2 linked regions of the Caenorhabditis elegans genome follow. The protein of the gene in region 2 interacts with the protein of the main gene of each other region in a pairwise test. Each region holds a gene or a part of one and is shown on either strand. Other genes may lie near its edges.

Region 1 (4,772 bases), on a different chromosome or scaffold from region 2:
ATTTTCTGGAAAATTCTGCTTTCTTCTATCAAGAAAACATTTTGAACAACCAAAAAAAAGTCAACGATTAAAAGAAACCTTATCACATAAAAGAAAAGAAACTGCAGTGGACACAAAAAAAGAAAAACTGAGAAAAACATTTTTGGGAGAATAGGAGGGACGGCAGAAATGCGTAAACAAGAGTCTTCGTGTGAGCGTATAAAACAGCAAGAGATAGGCTATAATGTAGTCTACGTGTATTTGTAGTGAACGGCCGTGATGACAATTAATGTTGACCTTTTTGTGTCTCAAAAATGATGAAAATATTGGACTGTGTTACATCAAATATTATTAGAAATAGAATTAACAATTTCGAAAAAAAAAACTATTAATTATGCAATATTCTGCGATTTTTGTTTCAAAAACAATGTAGCGATCTCGAAGCGATCGATTTTTCTGAATTCATAAGAGAGTACTGTAGTTGATAACTTTTCGTTGTTGCGGGATTTTCTTCGATTTTTTCTAGCTTTTCTCCTATTTCTTCAAAATTAGGTGTAATATTTTCACATTTTTGGAAACTACAGTACTACTAAAGGCGCACACTTTTCTGCGTTTAAGAAAATCGATCGCTTTGAGACCGGGTAACGTATTTTTAGAGCGCAAATCGTAGTATTTCGCAGCGGGGTAAAAAACATTTTTGTTTTCAAAATTTTCAGTATTAGAATCGTCTGACAAAATATAATTAGACAATTTTTGAAAATTTCAAAATCTAATAGTAAGAAAACTCATGGATCATTCGATATTCATTTCGAAAACTTGAAAAATATAGTAGGGAAAATTGAGAAATTGAGAGAACAAATAATAAATAAATTCGCTTACGGGGGAAAAGGATTTTATACAAGAATTCAGATTTTTTGGTGGAAACTTTGAAAAAAATGAGAAAGAGAGCAATTCAAAGGAAAAACAAAAATATATGATTGCACACGGCATTTAATGTATTTGCTAGTGTTCCATATTTCCACCGGCACCAGCAGCAGCAGCAGTAGCTTCTTCTTCATCATCTTCGAGTTCTGGATGATGCTTCAGAGCAGCTCCCTCGTTATAATGAGCACGTCGTTTCTTCTCGAAATCGCGACGGTGAGCTGTAAGAGTCGTGTTTTAAATTATGGAAATTTTGTACGCTTCGATTTAAAAAAAATTGAAATGACAAATATCAAAATGTTCAGTGAATCTAGTTTTTTTTCTAGGAAACCCATCAAAATTGATTACATTCCTAAAATAAATAATTTTTTAAAAATTTTGAAAATAATATCATTAGTAAATGGAAGATTTTAGATTAAAAAAAAACTGAGCCAATTTTTATGATCAGTTTAGAGAAAAAAACGATTTTTTAAAATTTAAATTATGTTGAAAAATGATAATATTGAGATTTGACCTTTTTATATTTATAAAATCTAGATTTTTTCAAAGAATTCGATTATGTTTCCAAATTAAACATTTTTAAACTCAAAAATAAGATTTTTGAAAAAATTCAACAATTTTTCTAAATTTTTTGTTGACAAAATTTTTAAAAAAATTTCTAAGAAAAACCAATTTTTCAACTGTATTATATCATTAAACTGATTTTTCTGGAATTTTTCCTTTATAATTTTTTTAATCAGAAATAACTATTTTTTAAAAATCTTTGAAGACAAAAGCTGTCCAAATAAGTTTTTTTTTAATTTCACAAAATTTTTTGCTCGAAATTACTAGACAATTTCTTTAAATAATAAAAATCGGTTTTTAAAAGGATTTTTAATTTACAATTTTTAGAATATTTTTGTGAATTTCTTATAAATTTTGATTTTTAATATACTTTTTTTTAATATTTCAACTAAAATGTATTTTTCTTCAATTTTCAATTCCGTACCACGTTGTTCCTCTGTCAAATCAGCCTCGTCCTCGGAATCTTCAGCGGAAGAAAGTGATTTTCCACTCTGGAAAAATAAATGAAAAATAAATGAGAGAACACATAAAGAGCTCTAAAACCTCCGGATGAGCAAGTCCTTCGGCCACTTTTTCTGGGTCAATGGCATTTCCGAGTGATACTCGTCGTGGTCGAGTTGTTGGTACTCCAAGTACTCCTTCATCACATTCACTTTCACCATCTGAATGATGATATGGGGTCTTTGGTTCATCAATCTGCAAAATTCAAAGTTTTTGAAAATGGCAAAATAAAATTTAATAGCAATCTGAATATGTTGAAACAATTTAAAGTCAAATAATTAAAACAAACGTTCATGGGAAAAATACGTTAAAAGCTAATAATTCTAGAAAAAAAATCAAAATGATTGACTGTCGGAAAATCCTTTCATAATTTTTCATTGTAACTTTCTAAAAACTCTTGAATTTTTAATAACTTTTTATTTCGCTTATTCTATAATTACTTTTTAGTGTGAATTCGCATTTGAATTAACTTTTTTTTGGGAAAAAAGCTGTAATAAAATTAACTATATTTTCAACAAAAAAAAATTAGACGTTTTTTAAATCATATATTTTCGATAATTTTCAGTTTTGAGGTGTTTTTTAACAATATTTGTTCATTATTATTCAAAGTCCTTTTCAATGAAAAAAGTTCGGTTTTTTGTTTAAAAAACTAATAAAAAGGTAGTTTTCTGAAGGAAATTTTGTTTAGATGTAAAAAAACAAAGTTATTTTTCCCAATTTCATTTTTTTTGTTTCAATTTTTTAGTTGAAAAACTTTTCGAGGACGTTTTTTTCCCAAAAAATTCCCATATTTCATCCAAATTGTTTTTTTAAGGGTCCCTCTTGAGGAAGAAGGAAATATTTTTTGCAGCCACAAAAGAAAGCACATGCTAAAAAAAATAACCTTCATGCTTCCATAATCCTTGTCAGTTGGATGATAAGTGGCAAGAATATTCATTTCATCAAAATGTGCACGACCATCTTTGCCCTCAAGCGATGAGTCTTGTTTCATCTTAAGAATACTCTTCTTTGGCTTTCTTTTCAGAAACTCGGCTGGATCATCAAGACAAATCTTTCCATCGGCTGTCAGTTTGACGTCGTCTGCAGAAGCGGAGGGTGATGCCATTTTCTGAAAATAGATGGAGAATTTATTTTTTAACTAGGTTCGAAAAAGTGAATAGGTAAAAAAAGCAAAGCAAAAAGAAATCGTTTTGAAACGTTAGTTATCAAATTACTATTTAGAGGTACTTGTCATAAAAAGTTTTTAAAGTTTCTCAAAAACTTAAGAATGTTTTTTTCAAATATTTTCGAAATCAAACATAAAATGTTTTTTTGCTAATTTATCTTTGTAGATTATTTTTTCCTCATCACTTAAACTATTGGATAATCTAAAATACATCAATAATTCTTTTCCATATATATTCCCGTAAACACGACTGAAATAGCTAGAGACACAGCGTGGTGAAAAAGTAAAAGCATGCGAGCTGTAATCTAAAAGGAAATTAATTAGAAACGAAAAAACTGGCTACTCGCCTTTTTTGCGCGGAACAAAGATGTGATTGTTGCAGAGAAAAGAGTCAAGAGAAGCTAGTAGATCCTACATGATTAATGACTTTGCATACTTTTCGTCTTTTTTTTTAGCATTGAGCTCTCGAATATTTGCGAAAGAAACCTTTTTTTCACTAAATGATCAGAACTTCGAATGATTGAATCACCAAATTATGTATTTTCATATATTTTATATTCCCTCAGTGATCAGTAGTTGGTGATCAACAACGTAATTATCTTTTTGGTCAGCTTTTGATATATTATCCGGTTGGTTAAAAACCGAAAGATGATGTCGAAAATAGAAAAAAATAATTTGAAAAATGTTGAATGTGGCATGAAAAAGAGAAATCGAAGCCCTACCATATATATTTTTAAAAAAATATTTTTCTCTCGGTCAAAATTAAAAAATCAGGTCAAAATGTTCTAAATCTGCAAAAAAGTAAGTCTAGGTCTTAGAGAAAATAATAATTTCTAGTGCCTGGTTCGTCGAAATATTACACCATTTTAATGATTTTTTGAACTAAAGTTCTTAAAAATTAATTTTATTCATCAAAAAAATATTTGAAAGTTATGTAAATGATTACTTTTATAAATTTCTAAAGCACGTACTAGTACATTTCTGAAGAAAAAAAAAAGAAATAAGGGTGCGAAGAACTGACACTTCAGAAAAATTGAGTCCAAGAAAGGACATCAATAAGTTTAATATTTAAACTAATTTTTAAATATAAAGTAACAATTATAGTGAGTGGGTGGGTTGGGAGCAATTATTTATCAAAACTTTCAAGCTCAGCAAAATATATTGAGTAATTTCAGATAATTGCAGCCTAGAACTAGCAATTTCAGTTTGAGATTTCAAAAACATCAAAATCAAATTTGAAATGAAATGGCACGACGGCAAGAAAATTCCAAAAAGAGACTCCGCCCATATATTGGCTACCAAAGTGTTTTTAATCTAATTTTTCGTATTTTCAGTCATATTCTAACTAATAATATGACTATTTAGAGCCTCGAAAGTGGTAGGTCACCTTAAAGAAAACATTCTTCACGCACAAATGTTTTTTTGACAAATGGAAGAATAGAATGAGTGAAAACAAGTTGGAAGAAGAGTAACGAGTCCAAAAAACTCTTGGGTGGCCGCATTTTATTCTCCGTCTAAGGCGGCTAGAGCCAACGAAGAGCCAATAATGCAATTGGCGCCTCTCCTCAGCCTGTGGGGCTCTCTGAGAGAGCGTTCAAGCGAAAAAAGAAGCAAGGCCATAGGGGGAAGAACATTTTTCGTC
Region 2 (7,453 bases):
GGCATTTACCGATTTTCAACATTTCCGGCAATTTCGTTAGTTGACGGAAAAAACGCTTTTCCTAAATTTTTTCCTTTTTTTCCTCCTTGAATTTACGCCGAATTTTTATCCGAGAATCTGAATTTCCCGCCAAAACAAAAAAAAATTTTTCAGAAATTTCAAATTTCCCGAGATTTACAATACATTTTTAAGGAATATTCATTTATGGAAAAACTTTCAAAAAAAATTGCAAAATTCCTAAATTTTTTGAAACATTTTTGAATATTTACACTTGTCCCAAAAAAGTTTTCGAAATTAATAGAAAAAAAAACATTCGAAATCTCATAATATCATAATATTTTTTCAGAGTAAATAATATCTACTGCGACCTCGAATCATTCGGAGACCTCTGCGAAGTCAACAAGGACATGAATGTCAACGAAAAGCTCGAAGGAATGACATTTGTCTAATATGTTTCTTAATGATTTCAATCAACTGTTCCATTTTTCACGTTCTTTATTATATTTACCCTAACAACCAACCTTTAATCAACTAAAATGTACAAGTATTTCGACATCATTTTCCCAATTTTCTCAACTATTCCTTTACTTTTACACTTTAAATTGCCCCGAAATTGCTTATTTCTTGTTCCATATTTCAAATTTCAAATTCTCGGATTCTCACTTGCCCCTAATCCCACAAAAGTTTTAAAATTTGCCACAACAATAATAATAAACCCCCAAGCAGTTCATTCATTCTTTTTCAATCAACAAATTATCTACTACTACTACTACTACTACATCTCTTCCTGCTCCTTCTTCTTCATCTTCTTCGATTTTTCGATTCCAAGACGTTTCAGGTCTTCGTCGTTGAACGACATGGCCGTGTTGCAATCATCGAGACTGGAAAAAAAAATTTGAAGAAAAAAAAATCGATAAATGCCACGTGGCAGTGCTTACTTGACGTTCCAAGACTCGGAGATTGCATCGTCGAACTTGTTGCTTGGGGAACGACTGAAAATTTAAAATTTGAATTTTTTAGGCGTTTTTATTGTCGAGACGTGAAATTTTCCGGTTTTCCGGGTCTCGACACGAGCGAAAAAATTTGAATTTTTTTCAAAAAACCCTGCGGAAAAGGGTATGCGCCTTTAAGATAGTAATTTCCATTTTTTTCTTGTTCTGTAATAACAGTCCCAGACGCGAAATTTTGCAGTCTTCGCCCCAAAAAATACTGTACGAGGTCTTGAAACGAAAATTTCGTTGTTATTTGCGAAAATGTATATGCGCCTTTAAAAAAGTGTACTGGAATTTTAATTTGTGAAATTTTCGTCACTTATCGCTGTTTTTGGATAAAAACTCAAATTTGACAGTTAAGAATACATTAAAATTAAAAATGTTCTTGGAAAAACTCTGAAAAATCGATAAAAATACGAAAAATTGAAAATACAGTACTCTTTAAAGGCGCACACCTTTTCGCACCGTCTTGTACTGTTCTCTTGCGAAATTTTGCGGTTTTCGCGTCAATAATACTGTACGAGGTCTCGACACGGCAAATTTTTGTTGTTATTTGCGAAAAGGTGTGCGCCTGTAAAGTACTGTAACTTTAAACTTTCCTCTCAGCGGGATTTTCGTCCATTTTTCATAGTTTTTTGACAAAAACACTCAAATTCAACTCTGAAAAATCGATAAAAATTCTAAAAAAATTGAAATTACAGTAATCTTTAAAGGCGCACACCTTTTTCGCATTTATCAAAATTTTGTGTGTCGTCGTGGCTACAAACTACACAAACTCACCTAGTCTTCGTAGATGGTGTCCCGGCGCCAGACGTTGGGTCATTATTCATGGTGAACGAGGATGTGATCGTTGGCCTGAAAAATATTCTAGTTTTATTATGCATTCCACCAAATCGAGGCGCAGTGCGGTAAAGCGCGAAAGAGTACTCCAATTATTACCCTGGCGCGAAAGTTTGCGATTTTCGCTCCAAAAATACGGACCTGGTCTCGACACGACAAATTTTGTGTTAAATGCGAAAAGGTGTGCGCCTTTAAAGAGTACAGTAATTTCGAGCTCTTATTTTTGTGAAATTTTTATCGATTTTTCAAGTTTTTTTTTCACGATTTGTTAAAAATTAAGTGTTTTTCATGTTATGTTGTAAATTAATATTTTTTTCTTCGAAAAACCAAGAAAAATCGATAACATTTCCAACAAGTACACTTCTCTAAAGGCGCACACCCCGCACACCCTGGAAATTTGTCGTGTCGAGACCTGGCACTTTAATTTTAGCTTCTGTGTAATAGCAAGTCTAAAATTTACTCACTTGATGCCCGGTTTCTGATATCCTGAAGATTCGCCGTAGGTGAACACAATGTCGAGCTGCAAAAATTAATAAATTATATGGAATATGACTATTCGCGCTAAAAATACGATACCCGGTCTTGACACGACATACTTTTGTTCGACGCGAGAGGGTGTGCGCCTTTAAACAGTACTGTAGTTACAAAATTTCGCGGCCACAAGATTTTATCGATTTTTCATAGTTTTTTGTTGAAAATTAGCTTATTTATTGAAAAACTTGAAGAAAACACGAACATTTTTAATAATGGATGAAAATTCCAACAAGAGAAACTACAGTACTCATTAAATTAAAGGTGCATACCTTTTTGTCAAGGACTTCTGGCCTTCCTCATTGCATTTTTCGCGCTCCATTGACAATCTGACGGACAAAGCGTTGGAAAATCGTGTAATCCACACGGACAAATACATTTAGTTTTACAACTAAACGAGCCGCGACGCGGCACGCAACGCGCCGTAAATCGACACCGGCCATGGCCGAGTCAACGTGGCCTAATTCGGCAAAACTCTTACATTTCAGTTTATGAGGAAAGCCGGAAGCGCGTCGTGAAAATTTGTCGTGTCAAGACCCGGTACCGTATTTTTTTGGTGCGAAAATTTCAAAATTTCACGTCCGGTGTGACGTCACAGTGTTGAGACCAAGCTCACCGTATCGTTCTCCCGACGCTTCAAACGAACACATCTTCCGATTGTCACAGGAATCGCGGTTTGAATCAACGAATTTCGCAAATTCACCAGCTCCGCGTAGGTCATCGAGCCGAGCGTCAGACCTTGCAGAATCTTGCACGCCTTGTGATCGTTGAGATGACGCTCGTAGATCCACTTCAACGACATATTGATGATGTCGACCTTCTTAAAGTCCGGAATTCGTGCCGACAGACATGTGATCACCGTGTTCGTCGACAGGCTCAGAATTTCTTCGTAGGACAGGCGATTGGTCGAGTATGTGTCGTGAAGGATCGAGACGATATCGCGGACACTTTCATCGGAAATCAATAGAATCGTAGATGGAGAATGCGGGATCTGGAAAAAAAAGTTATTAAAAAAAAAATACTTGTCTGCTATTTGCCCTGTACTAGTCCGGTACCGCCCGCTACCGCCAGCTACCGGCCGCTCGAAAAATGACAGAGATTTGATGGCTGCGCGCAACTCGGTGCGCCGGCGGCGGCGAACTGCGTTTTTACCGTTTGGAAGCCACGCGTGGAAATTAAAAAAAATGAAATATGCGCCGACGCCGGCGGCAGTGCCTATTTGTGTGAGCTGCCGCCGCCGGCGCAAGCAAATAAAATTTGCAATGGCGCAGTAGGGTGCGCCGGCGGCTGCGAAAAACGGTTACCGCCGCCGGCAAACTGCGTTTATACCGACTGTTTGGAAGCCACGCGTGGAAACTTTAAAAAATCCGCCGGCGCCAGCGGCGGCGCGTATTTGTGTGCGCTGGCGCAGTGGGATGCGCCGTCAACAACCACCCGTTACCGCCCACTACCGCCCGCTGCCGCCCGCTACCGACCGCTACAGCCCGCTACCGCTCGTCACCGCCGCTACCGGTTGTTAGTCGGCCGCTACTTGCCCGCTACCGCCCGCTACCGGCCGCTACCGGCAGCTACCGGCAGCTACTGCCCTCTACTTGCCCTCTACAGCCAGCTACAGCCCGCTACCGCCCGCTTCCGCCAGCTACCGGCCGCTAACCGGCCGCTACTACCCGCTACCTCCCGCTACCGCCTGCAACCCCCCGCTACAGCCCGCTACCGACAGCTAACGCCCGCTACCGCCGAATACCGCCATCTACCGCCCGCAACTCTCCCTCTGTCGCCGTTGCCACCGCTACCGCCCACTACAGCCCGCTACCGACAGCTAACGCCAGCTACCGCCGAATACCGCCATCTACCGCCCGCAACTCTCCCTCTGCCGCCGCTGCCGCCACTACCGCCCACTACAGGCCGCTATCGTTCAACCTACAGGTCGATAGTAGTAGTTAGAGGTCGATAGTAGTAGTTAGAGGAAAGTTATCGACCAGCTATTTGCCAGCTGCTCATCGCCCGGTAGTCGTATTAAAAAAAATCAATATTTTCAGAGAGGCTTGTTCAGGGCGAAAAGCCGGCGGGCGTGCTTCTCATTATCAGCACCACCGTCTCAAAAACTTACAGTTTTCAAGTTAGCAGTCACCAAATTAAGCACATCGACACAATTCCCCTTGGCCAGCTCCACCAATCTCTTCTCAACGTCCTCTTGCAACGTGACAATTTCAAAGTAGGAGATAGCCTTCAAGTCTTCGTGAAGGGTCGCCAGGCGGAAGGTCACCTGAATTCTTAAAGTAGGTACGAGGTAGGCCTAGGCGGAAAGCTTACCTTGCCAAAGTAGATATAATCCAAGACCCGCTTCACGCTGGTCTTGTCCAACGGTTGCATCTCCAAGACGAAGCATTTATTGGGCTTTCGAAATTTTTCGGCGAACGCAGGCGAGTAGGCGGCGAGCATCACCCAGTGTGCCGGAATCGATTCATCGTCAAAGCGGAGAGTGACGTCACAAAGTTCACGGGCGCCCGAGTAGTCGTCACGAAGGAATTGGGAGACCGATTCGAAATGGTGAATGGCAGCGGTTATATCAAGACTGAAAAATTAAAAAGCGTTTTTAATGGAGTTTTATTTTGCGCGTAAAATGTGGTGTATTCTGACAGTGCAAATGCGCTCTACCGAACAGGTAGACGAATTGCGTACACACCAGATTTGGCGCACATTTACGTACCTTTTATTCATATCAATACGATGGTTTGTTGTGGATTTCGAGACTTTGCAAGAATCTTTCATTTCGCCGGAATATTCTGGAAATAAAATGTTAACGATGCGTGGCCGCGAGAAGAAAAAACTCGGCCACCATTTACAAACAAAAAATTGCCGAAAATTTTTTGGTTAAAAAGTTGATAATCAAAAAAAAAGCAATAATTGATCGCGGTTTTCATTTCGACTGGAATCTTAAAACATGGCCGCAGTGGCCAAGGTTTTTTACCGGCCACTTGCTAATTTCTTGTGGTGGCCGAGTTTTCTCTTTTCGCGGCCACGTGGCATGAACCCACTCCCAGACACAAACTCACTTTTGATATATTCGACCGCCTATTAAAATCCGCTTAGGATTATTGAGAAATGACAGAATTTCGTACGTGAATATTATTAATAGCTTCTTTTTTTTTATTGCGTAAAATAAATATAATTTAAAGAAAAAAAACTAATCACTTAAAATTGCGTAGATTTTTCCACAAAAAAAAGATGGCACACGTTTATTGATTTTCTGATTTATTAAATTTAAATTTTAAATTTTATTCAGCCGCGCAAAGTTTTGTAATTTTGCGGCAAAATACGGTACCCGGTCTCGAAACGACAATTTTCAAATTGCAAAACAGGTGTGCGCCTTTAAAGAGTACTATAATTTGAAACTTTCGTGTCCGCGCGATTTTTATCGATTTTTTGAAGTTTTTTGAATTAATAAATATATTTTTATCGCAAACTAAGAAAAGTCGATGAGAATTCGTGGCCGCGAAAGTTGAACACTCGGCCACCGATTTTTATTACGACTTATGGTTTTTTTTAAATTTTCAGGCATATTAGCGTTGAGAAAACTTGATAAGGTGCCAGAGTATCTCACTTCGGTTTGATCTACGTAGATCTACAAAAAATGCGGGAGAATGAGACGCAGCGTTTTCGACTAATTTCGCATGGTTAAGAACGTGCTGACGTCACACTTTTTAGGCAATAAATTCCCGCATTTTTTGTAGATCAAGGAATATTTTAGGTATTTTAATTTGTTTGTTGCAACAATAGAAAAATTCTATGAATTGCGTTACACATTTTACTCATGGTCAAAAACAAAATCATGGATATCAAATTAATTTTCTTCAACTTTTCAAATTATTCATGGTATTCGTGAGTACAGAAATATGGATGTCATCTGGGCTCTTGTTCTTGAGAAAGTACTGATCGAATCCTTCGGTTATTCCCTGCAAAAAATCATATTATTCAATGTGGAAATTCAATTTTGACGGGATTTCAAATTTTCTGAGAAAATACTTTTTTGCGTGAAATTCAAAAAACCTTCTGAAAACTTAGTTAAACCTTTGGAGACTTCTAGAATCTTTTGGAAAATCCGAGAAAATTATGGAATGTGCTAGAATCTTTTGAGTAATCCTACGGCATTATAGTACTCCGGTAGTATTGTACTACTGTACTACAGTACTACAGTAGTACAGTATTACTGTAGTTGTAATAGTAGTACTAGTAGTACAGTACTAAGTTTCTCAAAAAGTGACAGAAACTCAGTAATTGCCGCTTTTTGATTGTCAATACGACTTTTTCGAAATTTTTTGCTTTTTTATTTTCTTTTCACTTTGACCTACCTGAATTACAGTAATCACCAACGTAATAATCGGCGCAATTTGATTTTCGTGATAAGCCACTGAAATCGCAGCACTTATGAATAAGGCGACTTTGACAGCGGCTTGAGTGAAATTTATGACATCTCGGAGCCACCAACGTCGTTCTGTCTTTTTATCGATGTATTTTAGCATGTTTTCGACCATTTCGAATACTTTTGTAATGTTATCCTTTAATGACCCAACATCCACTGCTGGAATATTTTCACCTGATCCAATATCTCGAGTCTCGTCGCCTTCGGTTGTGGTATGAAGGGACTGAAAATGGAATTAAATGGAAGATTACGGTACTATTACAGTAGCTTGCAGATGTTTTGCTACAGTAAAGACTTTTCGAAAAATTTGAAAAAATATTTTTTGTTGAACTTTTCAGATTATATATTTTCAAAAACTTCAGGTTTTTCCGTAAATGCAACATGTTTCAAAGTTTCAAAAAAATTTCCTAAAGTCCAAAAATTTATTAGAAAGCTCTTAGATTTTTTTTTCTTAATTTCTCAGACTTTTCGAAGACGTTTTACTTCAGGTTCAGGTTTTATTTTAGGTTTGTATAGATTTAAAAAAATTCCAAAAATGTACAAAACTTTTTCCATCATTCCCAGATTTTGCAGGAAGTTTCTAATATTTCTTGTAATCCTAGAGTAAAAACTACAGTACTCCCACAGTACCACTACAGTACTCCTACAGTACCACTACAGTACTCCT

The links.
Region 1: the proteins of pei-2 (region 2) and szy-2 interact in a two-hybrid assay, tested with the Caenorhabditis elegans proteins (one large-scale study listed by BioGRID).

The regions. Positions count from the first base shown.
Region 1 is NC_003281.10:5,368,202-5,372,973, forward strand, and holds szy-2 (Protein phosphatase inhibitor 2), read right to left. Parts: upstream 3,076-4,772; 5' UTR 3,071-3,075; coding exon 2,849-3,070; intron 2,161-2,848; coding exon 2,008-2,160; intron 1,956-2,007; coding exon 1,889-1,955; intron 1,122-1,888; coding exon 982-1,121; 3' UTR 765-981; downstream 1-764.
Region 2 is NC_003283.11:1,017,625-1,025,077, forward strand, and holds pei-2 (BTB domain-containing protein), read right to left. Parts: upstream 5,844-7,453; 5' UTR 5,420-5,843; intron 5,150-5,419; 5' UTR 5,136-5,149; coding exon 5,074-5,135; intron 4,939-5,073; coding exon 4,677-4,938; intron 4,630-4,676; coding exon 4,474-4,629; intron 3,355-4,473; coding exon 2,980-3,354; intron 2,353-2,979; coding exon 2,297-2,352; intron 1,848-2,296; coding exon 1,773-1,847; intron 993-1,772; coding exon 939-992; intron 882-938; coding exon 776-881; 3' UTR 712-775; downstream 1-711. Other genes in the region: Piwi-like protein ergo-1, read left to right, coding at 347-449; R09A1.3 (UPF0496 protein), read right to left, coding at 6,218-6,319, 6,716-7,009.